Linked DNA regions of Drosophila melanogaster. The protein of the gene in region 1 interacts with the protein of each later gene in a biochemical or structural test. Each region holds a gene or a part of one and is shown on either strand. Other genes may lie near its edges. The genes, in order: siz and Arf6.

Evidence for each region.
Region 2: of the proteins of siz (region 1) and Arf6, one has a biochemical effect on the other in vitro, tested with the Drosophila melanogaster proteins (one study listed by BioGRID).

What each region holds. Positions count from the first base shown.
Region 1 is NT_037436.4:21,029,981-21,038,669, forward strand, and holds the start of siz (schizo), read left to right. Parts: upstream 1-4,554; 5' UTR 4,555-4,938; coding exon 4,939-5,321; intron 5,322-8,689. Other genes in the region: CG10584 (uncharacterized protein), read right to left, coding at 445-1,269; Polr3E (RNA polymerase III subunit E), read left to right, coding at 1,909-1,941, 2,001-3,071, 3,136-3,492; CG10581 (uncharacterized protein), read right to left, coding at 3,580-4,103, 4,167-4,212.
Region 2 is NT_033778.4:15,317,326-15,326,014, forward strand, and holds Arf6 (ADP ribosylation factor 6), read left to right. Parts: upstream 1-5,175; 5' UTR 5,176-5,387; exon of another isoform or gene 5,388-5,416; intron 5,417-5,477; exon of another isoform or gene 5,478-5,705; intron 5,706-5,798; 5' UTR 5,799-5,816; intron 5,817-6,123; 5' UTR 6,124-6,158; coding exon 6,159-6,240; intron 6,241-6,519; coding exon 6,520-6,822; intron 6,823-6,876; coding exon 6,877-7,019; 3' UTR 7,020-8,165; downstream 8,166-8,689. Other genes in the region: Xpc (xeroderma pigmentosum, complementation group C), read left to right, coding at 1-52, 109-386; CG8155 (uncharacterized protein), read right to left, coding at 1,255-3,183, 3,241-4,563, 4,651-4,695; CG8157 (uncharacterized protein), read right to left, coding at 8,636-8,689. UniProt on the Drosophila melanogaster protein: GTP-binding protein involved in protein trafficking; may modulate vesicle budding and uncoating within the Golgi apparatus. Promotes cell movement and remodeling of the actin cytoskeleton during compound eye morphogenesis.

The DNA.
Region 1 (8,689 bases):
TTGTTGACTAATCTTTAATGATTCATTTAAAGTAAAGTTTAAATGCTTTATTTTTCTGAACTTCAAGTAATACTTGGTGCAAGGTCACAAAAATATATTTTGTAAATCGTCTTGTATCGCAAAAGTTCATTTTTATTATAAGGGAAAATATAGTTCGTCATAAAAAAGGTTGTATGTTCATATTTACATAACATAGAATTGGAGGATTTGGAAACATTCGAGACTGTAAGATTTTTTTCGCAGCCTTGAAATACAAGGCAAGAGTCCCAATTTGCAGCCAATAATTTTCCAAAAAAAATATCGTCACAATCAATGTTATTAGTTTAATTCCGGTGATATCTCAACCTAACGTAACAAAGCCATAATTTAACTAAATTATTAAGGTACATCGAGGGGCCATTTGAATCTAAGAAGCGGAACGTCTTTATGTGTGATTTACGCATTTTAACGACTGATGATCTTCATCAGAACCAGTTGCTTGCAGCGATCGTACTCGAAATACTGGGGGAAATCCAGAGGCAGGTGCTCCATGATCCACGGCTTGTTCACCGTCTGCCGGATGAGGTACTCATACATGGGAGCCACCGAATCGCAATCCTCCAGTGTGAACACATAGCGCTTCTCCAGTGCCATGTATATCGTTTTGGGTCTCCCAGTTTGGCGACCTCGATCCAGGAGGTTATCCAAGACGCAGATGAAGGCATCGGTTAGCGTATCACAGTAGATGACATCGGCAGCTAGGATTATATCGCTATTGTCTATGGCCTCCAGCAGATCCTGCGAGTGATCCTCTTTTGAGGCGAGAAAATCAAACTCCAGAACTGATATCGTAGCGCGGAGGAGTTTTGAATTTCTTTGGACATTGCCGCGGATCAGCTTCAGTATGCATCCCAGGTCCACATCCGTGCAATAGATCCTTCCGTTATTGTGTATTCCGGCGGCAATGCTGGTCAGGCCGACACCAGCTCCCAGTTCCATTAGGGTTTTCTGGGAAAACTCATCCTTTTTGGAGAAAAGGTAGTCTGCCAGAAGAAGGGCTCCTCGCCACACCTGCAAGCCCACCAGCCGGAGCTCCGTGGCCTCGGAATGTTCCAATTCGATCACGCCACGTTTCGGCCTTGGCACCTCAAGGTCGCCGTCTTTATCCGTCCTAATCCCCGCCAGCTTCTCCTCCGGATAGACGAAACGGAACTTCGACAACACCTTACCTCCATCGCGGGTCGTCTGGTAGTTGTTCTCTCCGTAGATCTCCGACGTGACCGTGAACATGATCCGGTTATGTATGCGGCCAAGAGCATAGGGTATATGAATTTAATGCTGCGGTCGGTCGAGACATCTTCCCCGGGCGTCGTGGTCGATTACAAAATCGGTATCGCCAATCGGTAGGCGGAAATTGTGTTTGCATTCTGTCTTTGCACAGTGGATGGGGACACATATATTTTAATAATTTGAAATTATTTAAATTTAGTGTTTATTATTTATGCACCGAAGAACTTTTGAAAATGTTTAATATAAACTATAAACTCGTTTCGCTTAATTTAAGGCAAGCATATATAATCACAGTACTTAATCGTATCTCACGGCTAAGTTCTAATAATTTGTGCACATCTTAAGATTAGAACCAGAGCTCTATATACATATATGTATTGAAATTATTTATTATATTTAATATACAACTTAGTCTTCTTAAAAGGGAATCACTTTAAATTACTATGACTTTTTGATGTTTTTCATAGTGAAAATGTATTATTCAATCTCGAGCCTAATGAGAGATAGTTCGAGTGATTGTATACCACTGTGCCGATCAGCTGTTTGCAGAGCTGGCTACCGAAGGAAGGCAACCTGGTCACACTGGATATTTAGGCGTGCACCGTCGGCAGACAAAACTATCAAATCGAAATTTAAATTATGGAAGACGAGGACGATCCCGTCGTGGAGGAGGTGAGTATGTGAGTGGCACTATTATTACCATGAGAACAATGCCCGCCCATCCCCACCAGATTCCCGTATTCCTGTCGAAGAACCTGAGGGACAGCCTGTATCTCTTTCAATACCCCACGAAAACGGAGCTCCCCAACCACGATGACTCCGTGATTGTCAATTGTTGTGTAAAACCAATCGCCCAGGAGGTGAAGGTGGACTTCGGCCTGGACATTGAGTCGGCCCACTTCGATCGCTTCAAGGGCGAGCAATTTGCGGTGGCCGCCGACGGAAAGAACACCTATGGAGCAGTTCCACCAAAGGGTCAGGAGCGACCCACCTACAAACGTGGCATCATGGACAAACAGGCCTTCACAAGCTCGCGTTCCATAACCGATGTGGCCAAGTACATAGTGGGCATCTTTACGGATCGGGAGGTGCATCTGTCGCCACTTACATCCATAGTCCAAATGCGACCCGTTCTCAGTCACTTCGATAAGGACGACAAGCGCAAGAAGGCGGAACTGAAGGCTCAAACGGAGGACACGGACGATGACGAGGTGCTGCAGCAGGTCACGGTTAAATTTGCACGAGGAAATGCCAAAAACAGCGGAAAGGAGCAACGTGTCGGCACCTACGACAGTTTCGTCCAGCGAATTGCGGATGAGCCGTGGTGCGAGGCCTACTGGCACTCGAGGGGCACGCCCACCGCCGAACTGGAGCGCCAGAAGCTCTTTGCCACCAGTCATCACGGCAGTTCCTCTTTGGCTCTCGCTCCTGACGAATATCTTCGAAAGCTTCTGCCCTACGACGAGCATGTGCAGACGGTAGCCCCAGCAGCTGCTTCTGCTGCCGCCCAAGTACTTCCCGTCTACAACAAGGCCATGCTTAAGTCTATGCCGCTGCTGGAACAGCTTACAGTGCTACTGAGAGATGCGCGGATGCTCTCGTTCAGCGACGTCATTAGTATTCTCGCGGAGCACGTGGATCCGCATGTGGCTGCCGACAAGGTGCTGGCTTTGCTGCCCCAGGTGGGCATCCTACTGCACGGCAACTGGGTGCCGAAATCCGAGGTGGTCTTTCCCGAGAAGGTGCTTTCCCATGCGAACGGTGTGTCCGCAGAGCAGATGATTCGCGCCAGAGATTATATAGTGAGTTATAGTATGGGTGTAGCGATCACTTATCTTGTACTAATCTCCTCAAATCCATCCGCAGCTCTTTCGTTTCTCCCGCACGCCCTACCTGTTCCGAGCTCAGGTAATGGCCGCCACCCAGTTACCTCCTGCGGAAACACTTGACGTTTTGAAGACTGTGGCCCGGGTGAATAACACAAAACGGTGGGAGCTGCTACTGCCACCCGACAAGGAGTTCGAGCAAAAGTACCCGGAACTGGTCAGCCGACAGGAGTACCACTGGACCGCTTCCGAGCAGCACTACAATGAAATGGACTGGGCTAGGGAAACCAAACGTGTTCGGAAACGTTCGACGAGGAAGAGCGAATCCCAGTCACTGACTTCAGCCATGCCGCCGCCCGCAATGAATCACTCAACAACTGGCTCCGTGGATGCGTAGCATCGGATGATGATCTCCCAGCGGCGGAGAATCGGCAGCACGATTATACATCTAGGCACTATTAAAAAGACCAACAATTTTACTTTGTTAAAGAAGTGCTTTTGTAATCTCTTCTGTAATCTCTCCAGCCAAGGCGTTCCTATTGAATTTGGTCACCTGGTAAATCTTGGATCCTGCTGACTTTCTCAGCTGCTCCACCAAAGCCAATGTTGATTTCTCGGGTATGGTGACCAATAGGGCCCGCTTTTTCTTCAGGAGATCAGCCATGGCCGACTCAAATCGCTTGCTAAGCAGCTCCATTTTGCCCACTTCATCCACGACCAGGAGATCCGGCTCTGGTTGGGAATCCTGTGTGCCAAGTACTGGCAGAGCGAGACTGTCGAAGTCCTGCACAAACACCGAATACTCTCCCACTTTGGGTCGTCGCAGCTGGTCCCCGGGATTCTTGCGAGATAGGATTGCTCGTTTTCCGGCTAACGTGACCACGTCGAAGCCGATTCTTTGGCTGGTGCCCTCACCTCGCATTTCCTCTGTGTAGAATCCTTGAAGAATGCGTCCTCTATCCTGCAGAGCCGAGCATATTTTGTGGACCAGTGTAGTTTTACCCACTCCTGAAAATCATGATTACATACATAATAAACAAATAGCAAATATTTTCCCAGCTAAATTTGCACCTGGTGGCCCAGTTAGTATAATGGTTATATTTTTTTGGTTCTTCATGTCGGCTTATTATTACAATACCAATTTTATAGAATATTTTTGTGGTGAACTAGATCAACCAGGAATGGATCATTGGCAGTTCCAAAATAAATCTTAATTAATGCACACATATTTAGATTTAATGAGTTTTAAATTTATCAAAGAAAGAAAATGCTTATGTATAATAATGAGCATAAACTTAAGATTGTTTATGCCCTTCTTAAATAAGATGAAAACAACAATATATTTTAAAATAAAACGGTCGTCTTAAAATGCCACATTTGATGCGGTATATTTTTTGAATACGATAGCGTATTTTGAGTTGCATGCTCTATGGTCACACTGCGGTGCCCCCCAGCACGTCCACACTGTTTCCAAACGTCGAACGACGAGTGCGTCGTGTTTTTCGTCGCGCGTGAATTGAAAATCCGTAATTCCGAGAATATTCGTAATCCCCCTCCGATCCGCACCAACTGTTGCTCGCGATTCGAAGTGCTGGCTCTGAAGTATAATATACGAAGGTCATTCAATTACAATACGAGTGAAGTTTCAACTCGCAGCAAGCTGCATTTTCAGTTCTTATTGTGAGATTCAAAGTGGTTCTGCCTGTTTCGCTGTTTTATCACCCTCTCCACCACCTTCCCTCATTCGCGCGAGTGCGTGTGCGTGGCGGGGCTATAATGTTTTGGCCACAAAAGCACATCGATTAGGAGTGCAGCCGATCCCCGCTAAGGTTATAAACAAAACATGTCCGAGGCCGATCTGAAGAATCTATCCCAGAACTCGGATGGCGACCAGGAATTGCTGCTGCATCAGACCACGCAGTCCCTGCTGATGGCCAGCTCCATAATGTTTGTGGGAAACCAAGGAGGGCCGGGCGGTTCCGCTGGGGGTGTCGCCCCACCTGGACCCGTTTCCCTGCCCCTGCCCCTCTCCATCAACATGCCCCATCACCATGTGCATGCGATGCCCTACAATGTGGACGAGCTGCTCCGGGAGAACAATGCCCTGCACGCCAAGATCAAGGAGTTGAGTCTGGAACGCGATCGCCTGCTCTGTGAAGTGTCCAATCTGCGACTGGAGCTGGACATGTCGGAGCTCAAGCGACTGCCCGTCGATCTCGATGATAAGTGAGTGCCCACCAATGTTTACTATCTAGTAATATATTCAAATATCTGTTAAATAAGGGTGAATTAATGGCATATCATATTTTCCTATTGGACATCCCGCTTAAATGGAAACTTCCAATAGGAAGAGATGCACTTTAAAATTGCGGTTGCAAAATAATTTTCATGGCATTTGGGGGCCAGAAAAAATTTGCAATGTTCAGCAATTTGATTTCAACATATTTAAAAAGAATTTTGTCGATATTGTTCTAGATGTGTCAACGAGCATTTTACATATTACAAAGAACAATTTCTCACTAAATACTCTGTAAAATGCGGTTGTTTATTTTGTGATCTCATTAAGAGCCAAAATATTCCATTAAGTAATTATAATCAGTCAGGAGATAGTATTCATCTTTAAATTGATTATATTTTGAAACAATATATATTTAAAATCTTTTCTGCTATACTACCTACTTTTAAAGCTCTTCTTTAATGCTTCTTATCAGAGCGGCATTTCGCTTTTAAGTTTCAGGTCAAGGCCTTTGATATATCTGTATATATTGTAGTTTTATTTATACCATAATTTAATCTGCACATAGGCCAGTTTTTTATTTCCCTTTTCTGATTAGAAATTAACATTTTAGCTGATAAGAAAAAGAGCTGGAATACATAATTCATTCAGTGAAGATCCTTACTTTATATTTTGTGGTTGTGTGATCTTAAAACAAAAACTTGAAGCCAAAGTACCATTTCTTCTTCAGCACTCAAACAAAACCACAAAAATCATTGATTTTTTTTTTGGATCGCCATTTTCGGCTGCATTTCCGTGACCCCCAACTCCAATGTTTCCTTGCCCCCGGGTTGAGTCAACTTCTCGTTGAGTCACATTCATTCGTCCCCTTGTCCTTGCCACCTTGGCAGCTGCAGGCTGACAAGTCGGAGTGCGACTTCTGGTTTTTGCAACCCCTTTTTGCACGCCGGTCTACCTGTGGGCTAATCGACACAGTCGTGGTCGCAAAATGAAGTGCACCGTGGCGATAGGTATTTCCGTACATAAAAAACTCATGCTTATCTGTAACAGAACAATAGATAATGTTGTATTTATTTCGTTGCCAAATTGAATGAGTCAGTTGTGCTGTGATAGAACTACAGTTGCTCTCCGCTTATCGATCGACCAGAATTCTCTATTTGTTTAGTTCTGCTGATAACTAATGTGTAGTGCTACTTCGGGCGATAAGAGCCGTCTCAGGGAAATTCAATGTTAAGACCGAGTTTCGATCACTTATTTGGGGTCTTTCCAGGGGAGATTAACCTCACAAATGCATGGGCAAACAAGAAAAGAAATATTATAAACCATTCGCCTGGCATTTTGCCATTGACAGTCGAATAAAGTTGGGAGTATCTTAATATTCGTACCTGACTTTGCTTTGCATGCGGTCATGCCCCACCGCAGACAATCTTTTAAATACAGATATTTTCGTATATATGATGTATACATATACAAAGTGGGCGCAAATAAAGCGCAGTTATCTTTTAACCGTTTTCTTTATTTTCGGGGCTTCTTGGCCTCTAAGGTCTGCTAGTAGTAGAATCGTGGGCTCTTCCAATTATTCGCTTAGCGTTTTCTGTTTATTTTTTATGTCTCGGTTTTTGCAGCTCACCTTCGCCAAAACTTTGAAACACAAAACACCAGAAACTTTTAAACTCGCATTCGTCGAATGTATAGATACTCTTTTAGAATTGTTATTTATTGTCACGTTTTTATATGAATAATCACTTCAGATATCTTATATATAAATTAATCTTTCAGATCAGATTATTTTGAATAATGATAATTTAGTTGATAGAGCATAAATGAAATTGGGAAAAATGCAGGATTTGCTTATCAAACGTTCCCTGCATATAAGGTACATTTCCTCATTTGTACCACCATTTTTTACGTTTTAATTAGCGAATCTAAATGTAATGTAAAAATGCTTACCACGGCTTAGATCCACTTTCAGATTAGAGTTGTACAAGATAAGCTGCACGCACCTAGTTGGCATATCTTTCATTATGGAAAAGAGTATGTCACGATGAGACATTAAACTCAAGATCAGAGATGTTGTTGAAATTGTGCGGGTAGCTTTCTGTCTTATGAGTACGGTTCCGCTGCTCCATGAATGTTGTTGTTTCTCTCTGTACACTGGGAGAACTTACGTGACTCACAATTAAAGCATTTTATTTATTACCATCATTAAAAAATAAACAAAAACAAAATGATTATACACATTTTCGTTTGATTTATACATATATTCTTAAAGCTTAAAAGTAACCCGAAAATAATTATATTTTTTAACAGTGTAGTCAACTATGTCGTTTCTTGGCTTGCCGCAGAGTTCAACTCATTAGCCAGTTATCATCATCTAATAAAGCAGACACACGCACCACAGAAAAATGGGAAATGCGGAAAAGGGGGCGGAGGAAAACACTTGCCCATTTGAAAAGTGCTTTTAACTTTGCTCTGGGTCTCTCTTTGTGATAATTAAGCGAGTGTAGTGGAGAGTCTATTAATTTCGTACGACCCCCCTTTTAAAATGGCAATGGTGGGGCTTTCCAGGGGGTGGAGCGGAGTGGTCAAGATGGGGCGGATGGAATAACGTTTTCCGACTACTTAATGAGTGTGTACTGTATTCTGTAACTTTAGTAGGTGAAGTAGTTCTCTGGCCTTCTTGCCACTACTACTCTGCTCTTTCATTTGCATGCAACATTTGGAGTGAAGACTGCGGTTGCCTTATTACAAAAGGGGGCGTAGTTGAGGGGGGGGGGGGATACCGGGGGACTGGAAGTTTGATGGTCAAAATGGAAGCCATGCGTGCTGCGAACATCTTTGAGGTTTGAGAGCAAAACTTTTGTTTTAATTAAAAGATATGCCAAATGGACATGCAAGTTGGGGGCTGGATGATCTAAATGCACCAGCAGATGGGAACTACTTTGAAAATGGGGGCGGAGTTGAAAATGAGATAGTAATTGCACTAATAACATGCTGATTTTTAAGTGATTCCCACTGAAGCCTTTGTTTCAGCCACAGATCCAGATGGTTTCTTAATTGCGGTCACTTTTTTTGTGGTGTTAACCCAATTCAGTAAAGGGAGTACTTCTATTTCTTTCTATAGTTTGCGAAAGATTTTTTGTGGTTTGTTCGATTATTTCCCTCAGGGTTAAAGTCCAGAAGAAACTATTTAAAATGTTGTGTGTTGTGGTGAATCCTATTACCGCTTTTAAAACTATTTGAACTAAAATGTAATATGTAAATTGAATATATGTAATCCTTGAAGTATATAGGCCTTCTAAAATGTATTTTCTAAAGACCTAACAATTTATAAGTTCAAGCTGATGAAAAACAAATT
Region 2 (8,689 bases), on another chromosome or scaffold:
GTTGAGCTCTTTAAGGACTGCATGCTGCCAAAGAAGACGGTGCATTTGAGATGTAAGAAAGGTTTCTTCTCACCAATTTATTTAAATAACCTCGAAATTCAATTATAGTGCCCGGCTTGATGCGCATCTGTAAGAAGCTGAATATTGATTGTGCCAATGCAGTGGTTGGCTTCGATTTTCATCAAGGCGCTTGTCATCCCATGTACGATGGCTTCATTGTTTGCGAGGAATTCCGCGAAGTGGTCACTGCTGCCTGGGAAGAGGATCAACAGGTACAAGTTCTCAAGGAGCAGGAGAAGTACGAAACCCGCGTGTACGGAAACTGGAAGAAGCTGATCAAGGGTCTCCTCATTCGCGAGCGACTCAAGAAAAAATATAACTTTTGAATTCTTTGGCCTCTGATTTATGTTCGTATTATTGTTTCGTTTAAAGGCATTTTGATATTTTTGTATTTAAAACGTAATTTGATTCCAATAAATTGTACACTAGTTGTTTAGAATTCGTTTATTAATCGATTGTTTAAAAGTTCTTTTTTTTCGTAAATTTACATAGCATATTCGTTAACTTTACTTCGAATTTTTTGAATTAAATTTTAATTTACAAAATTATTTTGTTTTCAGAGTACGTTGAGAGATTTTTAAGATACAGAACGTTTGAGATAATAAGATTATGGTTATTTGGGTTATAGATCCGTCAATTTATTTGCATAAAATAGTATTTAGGCGCGATTTTAAATCTAAAATATAGTTTTTACAACAGCATGGAATGCATTAGCAGACTAGAGAAATAAAGCAATTTCCAGCCAAACAGCTCGCATTTGATCGTTTGGCAAAGGTGCAGATAAATATGTAATAAAATATAAATAAAACCTTAATTCAAAATAAGAAAGTACAAAATCCGTATACGTACAAAAAGAAGACTTTGGTTATGTATTCTGCCATTCACCTCTAGCAAGACAAATCTGAGCAATCGACTGAGTTTATGGTTACATCAAGAGCTGCACTTTCATGAAATGTTAAAACTTAAAGGAAAAGTTCGTGCATCGAGGGCATGGGGTTATCGTGGAGTCAAAGTTTCTTTTAATGCCAAGATGATAAAATTGTTTATTGTAATGGGTTTTTTGTTCTGTTGAATTGGAGAAGTTCTGCATAACACTCATCGAATATTTGTGAAATTTCAGTAACTCATACATAACGGTTGCCAAGCTGAGATGACACTAAGGTTTCATGGAAGCGGGGTAGGATTGCAAGTCTCTTAAGCAGGCATTGATGAAGTCAAGCTCGCGCCCGTGGAACCAGTGGAGACAGTCCCGCTGGGCGATCTCTGGCGCTGTGGGCTGCTTTGTGCCTTAAGGTAGTCCACGAACATACGCCTGGCCTGATTGAGAACCCGAGTGACGTCGTGTTTCCTCACCATTTTATCAAAGTGCATGGCAATCTCGTTGTAGTCCATGCCTGCCTTCATGATCGTGTTTCGGTGCTGTAGCAAAAGTGTTAGACAGAGAAACATGAGGAATGCATTACCTCCACCGAATTCTGTAGGTGGAGGCAATGCGGCCGCAGTGGTATTCACTGCACTGACTCCATTAAGATGGGTTGAACGCTGGGGGGATCGCGTATAGGCGCTCTCGTCATCTGCATTCGTGGCGATCTCCACCAAAGGCGAAACCTCCACTAGACTCGGCTCAGTGGAAATGGGCAGGATGACTTCGGGCAAACTGTTGCTGTTGCGCATTCCCAATGGACTGTGCCCATCCATAAGTTGGCTTTCGTCGATGAATGGATTAAAGGCATGCGACTCGTTTTGCTGAACGCTGTTACTCTTAGCCGCCAGTCGCTGTCGACGACGCATATGTAGCTCACTGACATCGGGACAGGTTATGATCTCGTTCTCCTTGAGATCCTCCACTAAGTCCAGGGCGTCCTTGTCCAGCTTCTCGTACTCGATGTCTTCCCGTTTCTCGCTCTCCGTAAAAGGCAGCCCAAAAACTTGTCGATCTAGATTCTCGGCCTCTAGGCGCAGCTCACGCGTTATGGCCGTCGTCATGGGGTAGTACTCCTGGTCGGGATCTTGATCCGGTGTGTTTGAATCGTCGGGGTCGCATGGGTGATTGCTTTCCAAATCTAGCTGTAGATTGTAACTGCTCAGTTCCTGTGCCTGCTGAATGGTCGTCGCAGCCGTTGAAGCGCTCCAACTGGTTTCCGGAAGTGAGGAAGAATCAGATTCGTCCAGGGAGCTACCCATCCCACTCTTGGTTAGCTGTACCACGGGCTTAGTAACCGAAATTGGACCGGATGTTTGTTGCGGCTGAGTGGCAAAACGATCGGATATACGATTCTTATTAATAGTTGCAAAATTTAGGAATTCATTGAAGTTTTTTACAAGCTTTGGCGGCATCTTCCGATCACCATCATCTTCTCCTTCTCCATCAAAAGAGATACCAATACGACTGCTTGCCGCCAGCTTTTCCTTGAGATCCTTAAAATGGCCACCACTAGAAGTGCTTACTCGCTTCATACTTTCACTCACTTGACTAGCATTAGTAGCTAGCTGTTTGGCGATGATATTGCTCACGGTCATAATGTTTTTGTGCTGCAGCTTGGCCTTCCTGTCACTGGGGTCCTCGTCCAGATTCGAGGAAGACGAACTACACAGAAAGGCTCGTCCTGGTGAAACAGGAGGTGTGGTTTCTCTTTCTGGTGCTCTCTGAGCATCATCCTTAAACGGATTTGTCTCCAAAAAGCTTGGCGACTCCTTCCTATCAAATACATCATCATCTTCGGTTTCCTCGCCGGCGGACAAGTTTTGTTCCAACTTGACATTCCTATTATCCAAAGCGCCCTCAATAAGCGCCAGCATTTTTGACTCGTCCAGACTTTGATGGACCTTGGCCGAAGTCCGTCTTTGGCGGCGAGCAGCGGCTGTCGCATGACGCGACATATTGTCGTCTAGGCTGTGATTCAGCCGTTTTGTATTGTCCAATCCGTGACTGGTTCCCACCGAAGAACTTAGTGAGCTCAAGGAGGCTGAAGAGCTCTGACGGCGCAAAGCGCATACCTTGGTGTAGGGACTTTCACGCGGTTTTGTCAGCAGATAGGAAGGACTGGTCGGCGTAGCGCTGTAGGAGCTGGAAAAAGTGCTGGCGCTATTGGGCACGGAGGCATCAGTAATGGGTACGAATTCCTGTGAAAAATCATGGTGATTAGAAATTAAGCAATTCCCTTTGGGTTTCGCACTAACCTTTTCAAAGAGCGCCAGCTCTTTCTCCCCATCACATCGATAACGAAGTGAACTCCACTGCACCTCCAGCATGCGAAGGGCATCCTCAAAAGGAAACTCCCGCTTTAGCTCCAGCAGTAGCCAACGGTAACAGAAAAGTAAGTCGTCCGCTTGCTGCGACTTGAGGTACTCCCAGAACTCAGGATCATAAAAACTTAGCGCCTCCGTTAGGTGAGCAAATTTCTGAGTCATTGCAATCCCATCCAGCATGAAGTTTCCACGCATACGTGACATTATCGCACAAAAGCAGATGTAGGCCTGTGCCTCGTCGTTCATGGTAACCAGTAGCGGGGAAGCAATGTCCGACATGCCTTGACAATATGAGACCGATGGATGGTTTAGTGCATATGTGGTGAGGATATTGAAAAGCGCAGCGATGTTCTGATTGTCGTCGCTGCCTGCATAAAATGGATGCAGGCGGTCCGTGCGGAGAACATCCTTCTTTACCATGCTCGTTACGTAAGCCAGTTCTCCAGCCACACTGCCTCGCTTCACGGCCGCTTTCCATGTGTCTCTCAGACGACAGTACTGCTCAGACTTTCGTCGCATGAATTCCATACGCTGGTGTCCATCAAGTGCCAGTCCGTTAGCGCCACCGGGATAAACGTTAAGCAGATGTTTCCACACAACGCGCCGCAGACTGGGGTCAATGCCTCCTAGGAAGATGACCCTATGCAACTCGTCCTTGCGTTGAATCTGACCAAGTGCGTCCAGAAAGAGCCGGAACTCGCTGTCGCACATGGGCGGCCGTGGCGGTAGATTGGCCATATGCTCCTCGGATAAGTTAAACGCTTTCTGCACTATGGAGAAGGTTTTCTCCATCTGATTCAGAATGGAGCTGCCCAGTTTGGTCTGCATGTGCTGGACATATTTCTGGGAGACTCCTAAGGACTGCAGTGGTGACATAAGCTCGCGGGCGGGTACAAAAGGTGCAGGAGTTGCGGGAGCAGGCGCTCCCGTTATGGATCTACCCGGGGAGGCCTCGGTCTCACACTCCCTGACCACCGTAAATGGCTTCACATCGATCTGCAGGGTGAGGCAGGGTTCTGAGGCCGTCTGAATGGAAATGTTGTGAATCCTCAGAAAGGCGGCATCCAGATCCCAGTCGGAGCGCACGGCCAGGTAGATCTCGTTGCCCGCCGGATCAAAGGCCTTGTACTTAATGGAGAAGTCCGACTTGACATCGAAGGCCTTGGCCAGCAGGGAGTACAACACCTCCAGCGTGGTGATCTGCGGGTCCACTGAAAACTTTCGCCACTCCGGCCGAGCAGTGGGTTCGCATTTCTGTGGGCGATTTCAAAAAAATTAGATTGAGGAACACAAACTAAGCAGCCCTTTTGTTGTCTCGCCTTCTGGCCACCTTTCACTTGCCTTCACTTTCACCCGAACCGCCTCCCGGGGGCAAATGCCAGCCATGTTTTCCGAGTCTGTTCTGGTCGACGACTAACTAAGTTCCATTGTACCTCTGAGCGATGTCAGTATCGTAAGTATTGCTCAAATATAAAACAATACAAAAGAAGGAAACTGAAATCAATCGACTTGATTTCAATCATCGGTTTCAGTGTGGCCGCCCTAGGGCTTTGTAAGTTCACCAGGGCTACATTAAAATACCAAATCACTAAATACACAAAACAAAAATTTTTAAAATTAAAAAAAATTAACAAATTGTTGAACGTACGAGGAGAATATATCAGCTACATTGTTTGCTAAATTAATATGAATAATAAATGAATATAAGAAAATAAATCTTTTTCAATTTTGAATTGCAAAAGTAATAACTTATTGGCCAAAAAATCACGATATCCCCGCCAGTCACCGTTTTTCATCTGATAAATTCAGTATTTTTGGTATTTATCCTCCGCATTCTTTGCATTTTTTAGCGTATTTTCTGGAATTCCCGAAGATCTTGTTCCGCTCTGCGCTAACGGGCACATTGCTTCGTGTATGTGTATATAAATACAAGAAGATTAGTGCAAAATTGTTGTTGTTAGTTATAGTTTTTTGGCCGCCGTGTGCTAGCAAATGCATTTTATGCCCCGGCCCGCGCACTTTGGCACTACATGTTAACGGATTTCAGGCTGGCGTGGAACGAATTGGGCTGGAAAGCGGTGCGTAACGGCGGTCGTCGGAGACTTGGGTGTGTATACATGTGTATGTGTGTTACGGGCGTGTTTGTGACGTAGGCAAGCAGCAGCGAGAGAGCGAGCGAAATTCCGTAGAATCCGAAAACCATCCGATATCGTTGCTCCCAAGCCGGCTTTACTGGGTCGTCGAGGGGTGCGGTGGCTGTTCAGGGGGCGGGGGTGGAGCGGTCGGATCCACCCGCCCATTCAGTGGAGCCAGCGATAAGCCCGCAATTGAGATAACTCTGCCTCAATTTGCGAGACACTATAGTGTGTTTATCTGTCCAATTGTACTTCCTATGTGTAAGCATGTGTGCGTGTGTTTGTGTGTGCGACTGTGTGCTGCAAGCTCTTCACTGATAAATTCTGCCTCTCCACTTTTTTCTCGCTTTTTAGCAACGAGCTGATGACAATGTAAGTGAAATTATTATGCAAAATAATGGTCTTAGCTTCCGCCGTCGTACAAGCTCTATATGGCCACCAAATTGCCTGTGCCCGCCGTATGTGTACATATGTAGCTACATTTGTATGTTCATATATCACTTACGCGCCTTCGCGCGACGGCGTTCTTATATCATAAATTGATATGTTAACTGCAAACTGTATTACAATGGCCCTATTATCTGGAAATTCACTGACCCTGCCCTGAATCTCGCCCAGCTATTCTTATCGATATGCTTATTTGGAAGACCTCGCCAACTCTACTCGAACTGTTTTTCAGATTGGCTAAGGTTTAATGGATGACACATCAGCACCATGGGAAAGTTACTATCAAAAATTTTCGGCAACAAGGAAATGCGAATTCTCATGCTCGGACTGGACGCGGCTGGAAAAACAAGTAAGCACATAAACAATAAAGGGTTCTCGAATTCGATTGTGGGCCTGATTAGTACCCATTAGTTTCATCAGTTTCCTAAGTGGAAACCAATCCCATTTAAAAAATACTCTTGAGGCGAGGCAATTATTGTTTTGTTTTTATTCTTATTGTACTTTGAAAAAATGTACAATATAAAGACCTTTCAATACGTACACCAGTACTATCACTAATCGAATTCGAGCTATTTTGTTTATACATCCTTTGCGTGTCTAAAGTAATATTGTTTTTGTCCACCCACAGCGATTCTGTACAAACTGAAACTTGGCCAATCTGTTACAACGATACCCACTGTGGGCTTTAATGTGGAAACCGTCACCTATAAGAATGTCAAGTTCAATGTGTGGGACGTCGGTGGGCAGGATAAGATTCGACCGCTATGGCGACACTATTACACGGGTACACAGGGTCTGATCTTCGTCGTGGATTGTGCGGATCGGGATCGGATAGACGAGGCGCGCACGGAGCTGCATAGGATAATTAACGATAGGGAGATGCGCGACGCCATCATACTGATATTTGCTAACAAGCAGGATCTGCCTGATGGTTAGTATAGTGCTCAGCCAATTGTTTCCATCCGCTTATTGTTCTCTCTTGCAGCAATGAAACCCCATGAAATCCAGGAAAAACTAGGTTTAACTAGAATAAGAGATCGCAATTGGTATGTACAACCATCATGTGCCACATCCGGCGATGGCCTGTCCGAGGGCCTCATTTGGTTAACGTCGAACCATAAGTTATGAGAATCGTAATCGAGCATTTTCTTATATGTATGTATATGGCATGTATTATTCGAAGCGAAGCAAAAGCGAAAATATTCTATTTTATTTATACAAAGAAAACCAACCGCAAGCGCATAGTAAAAACTCAATTCGTAAAAACGAACGTACATAAATTACAAATGTTAAAAATGGTATATAGAAGTCAGATATATATAGTAATTATATATACTCTCAATTAACCAACCAATATTCTCACTAGTAAAAATACACATACCTACAAAATAAAAGAAGCATCAAAATAAGCAGCCGGTAAATATCCGTAAAGTAAATTATGCGTGAAGCACAGAGACATAAAGCAAAACATCAACGGAGATTAGCCTTAAGTAAGTTTTTCTTGTAAATTATATTGATGAGACACGTAAGCAATAAGTTGAAAGCTTGTTTATTGCAACTGTTACTATATTTGACTTGAGCAAGGGTGTAACGAGTCTTAAATAAATTGTAAATAAATATTCAAATTAAAGCCCATATACAACAACAAACGAAATAAAAGAAAACACCGAACAAACAATTGAACAAACCTATAGATTGCTATTTAGATTAAAACTGAGTCTTCAAAATATAATGAAATAGTAACTGTGCCTTCCTCAATGTGTGTCTATGATCCCTCATTATTTTCCCCACTCCAACAGCTAATTTTCTCAATCTGATATCCTTCGAGACGAAGAAGGTCCCTGGATTTGCGAGAAAGGCATATTCTGACTTCAGTGTCAAACGCATTTGGTTTGTATTGTGCGCTCAATTTGAAAGGTAAACATGCCACATTCAGTGCCATAATTTGCAGGGTAAATGAGCCTGGGTATACCTGAGCATGATTTGTTCAACACGGCGTTCAATAATTTACCTTTGTTTTGCAATCATCCCCGAATTGTCCGAAAAACTCCTTGGTACATCCTTGCATGAATAATATAATTTATTTTTTGTGGGTGTATGTCTTGTTTTATACCTTTACCGTTTTTATCAAAACCAACCTATTCATAATACCCCGTAATATCTCAGTATCTAAGATTTTTGTTGCTGAATTATAATTATAAATTTTAAGTTATGAAACAAATCATAGGTTTCAAAGTTATTTTCTGTAAATATGTTTTTGTATTATTATTGTATTATAATAATAAAAATATATAATAATTAGTAGAGTCACGTTTTACAGATGAAAAGGTTGTGATGAAGATGACGAGTTCCCAAATAAACGTCATCTAGCGATCCACGAAGTGACGAAGCGCTTATTGCCAAGATAATCTTGTTAATATTCTCACATGAAGTGACACATCCTATGAAATTTGTATGTAGAATTAAACGATTCCGACTTAATAAAGTGTATATATTGTTAATATATATATTATTAGTCAGGATCAATAGCCGAGTCAATCTTTTCTGTGTGCAGAATCCCAGAGTGTAGTATTTCCTTGGTTTTGCGTCTCCTCAAGATGCGTGTTTGTTCTTTCCTTCGTTTGCGAGTTATCTCCAGGATCCGTGGTCTCCTTAATATTTGGTTCACGAAAACAGCAGGTATATGTTGGAAAAAACTATTTATTTTTTGTTTACGATTTTAAGACGATTAAGAAATTGGGGTATTAGAAGCGCCCATGATGTCCTCCATGGTGTCTGTGGTGTTCGCCAAAGCCGCC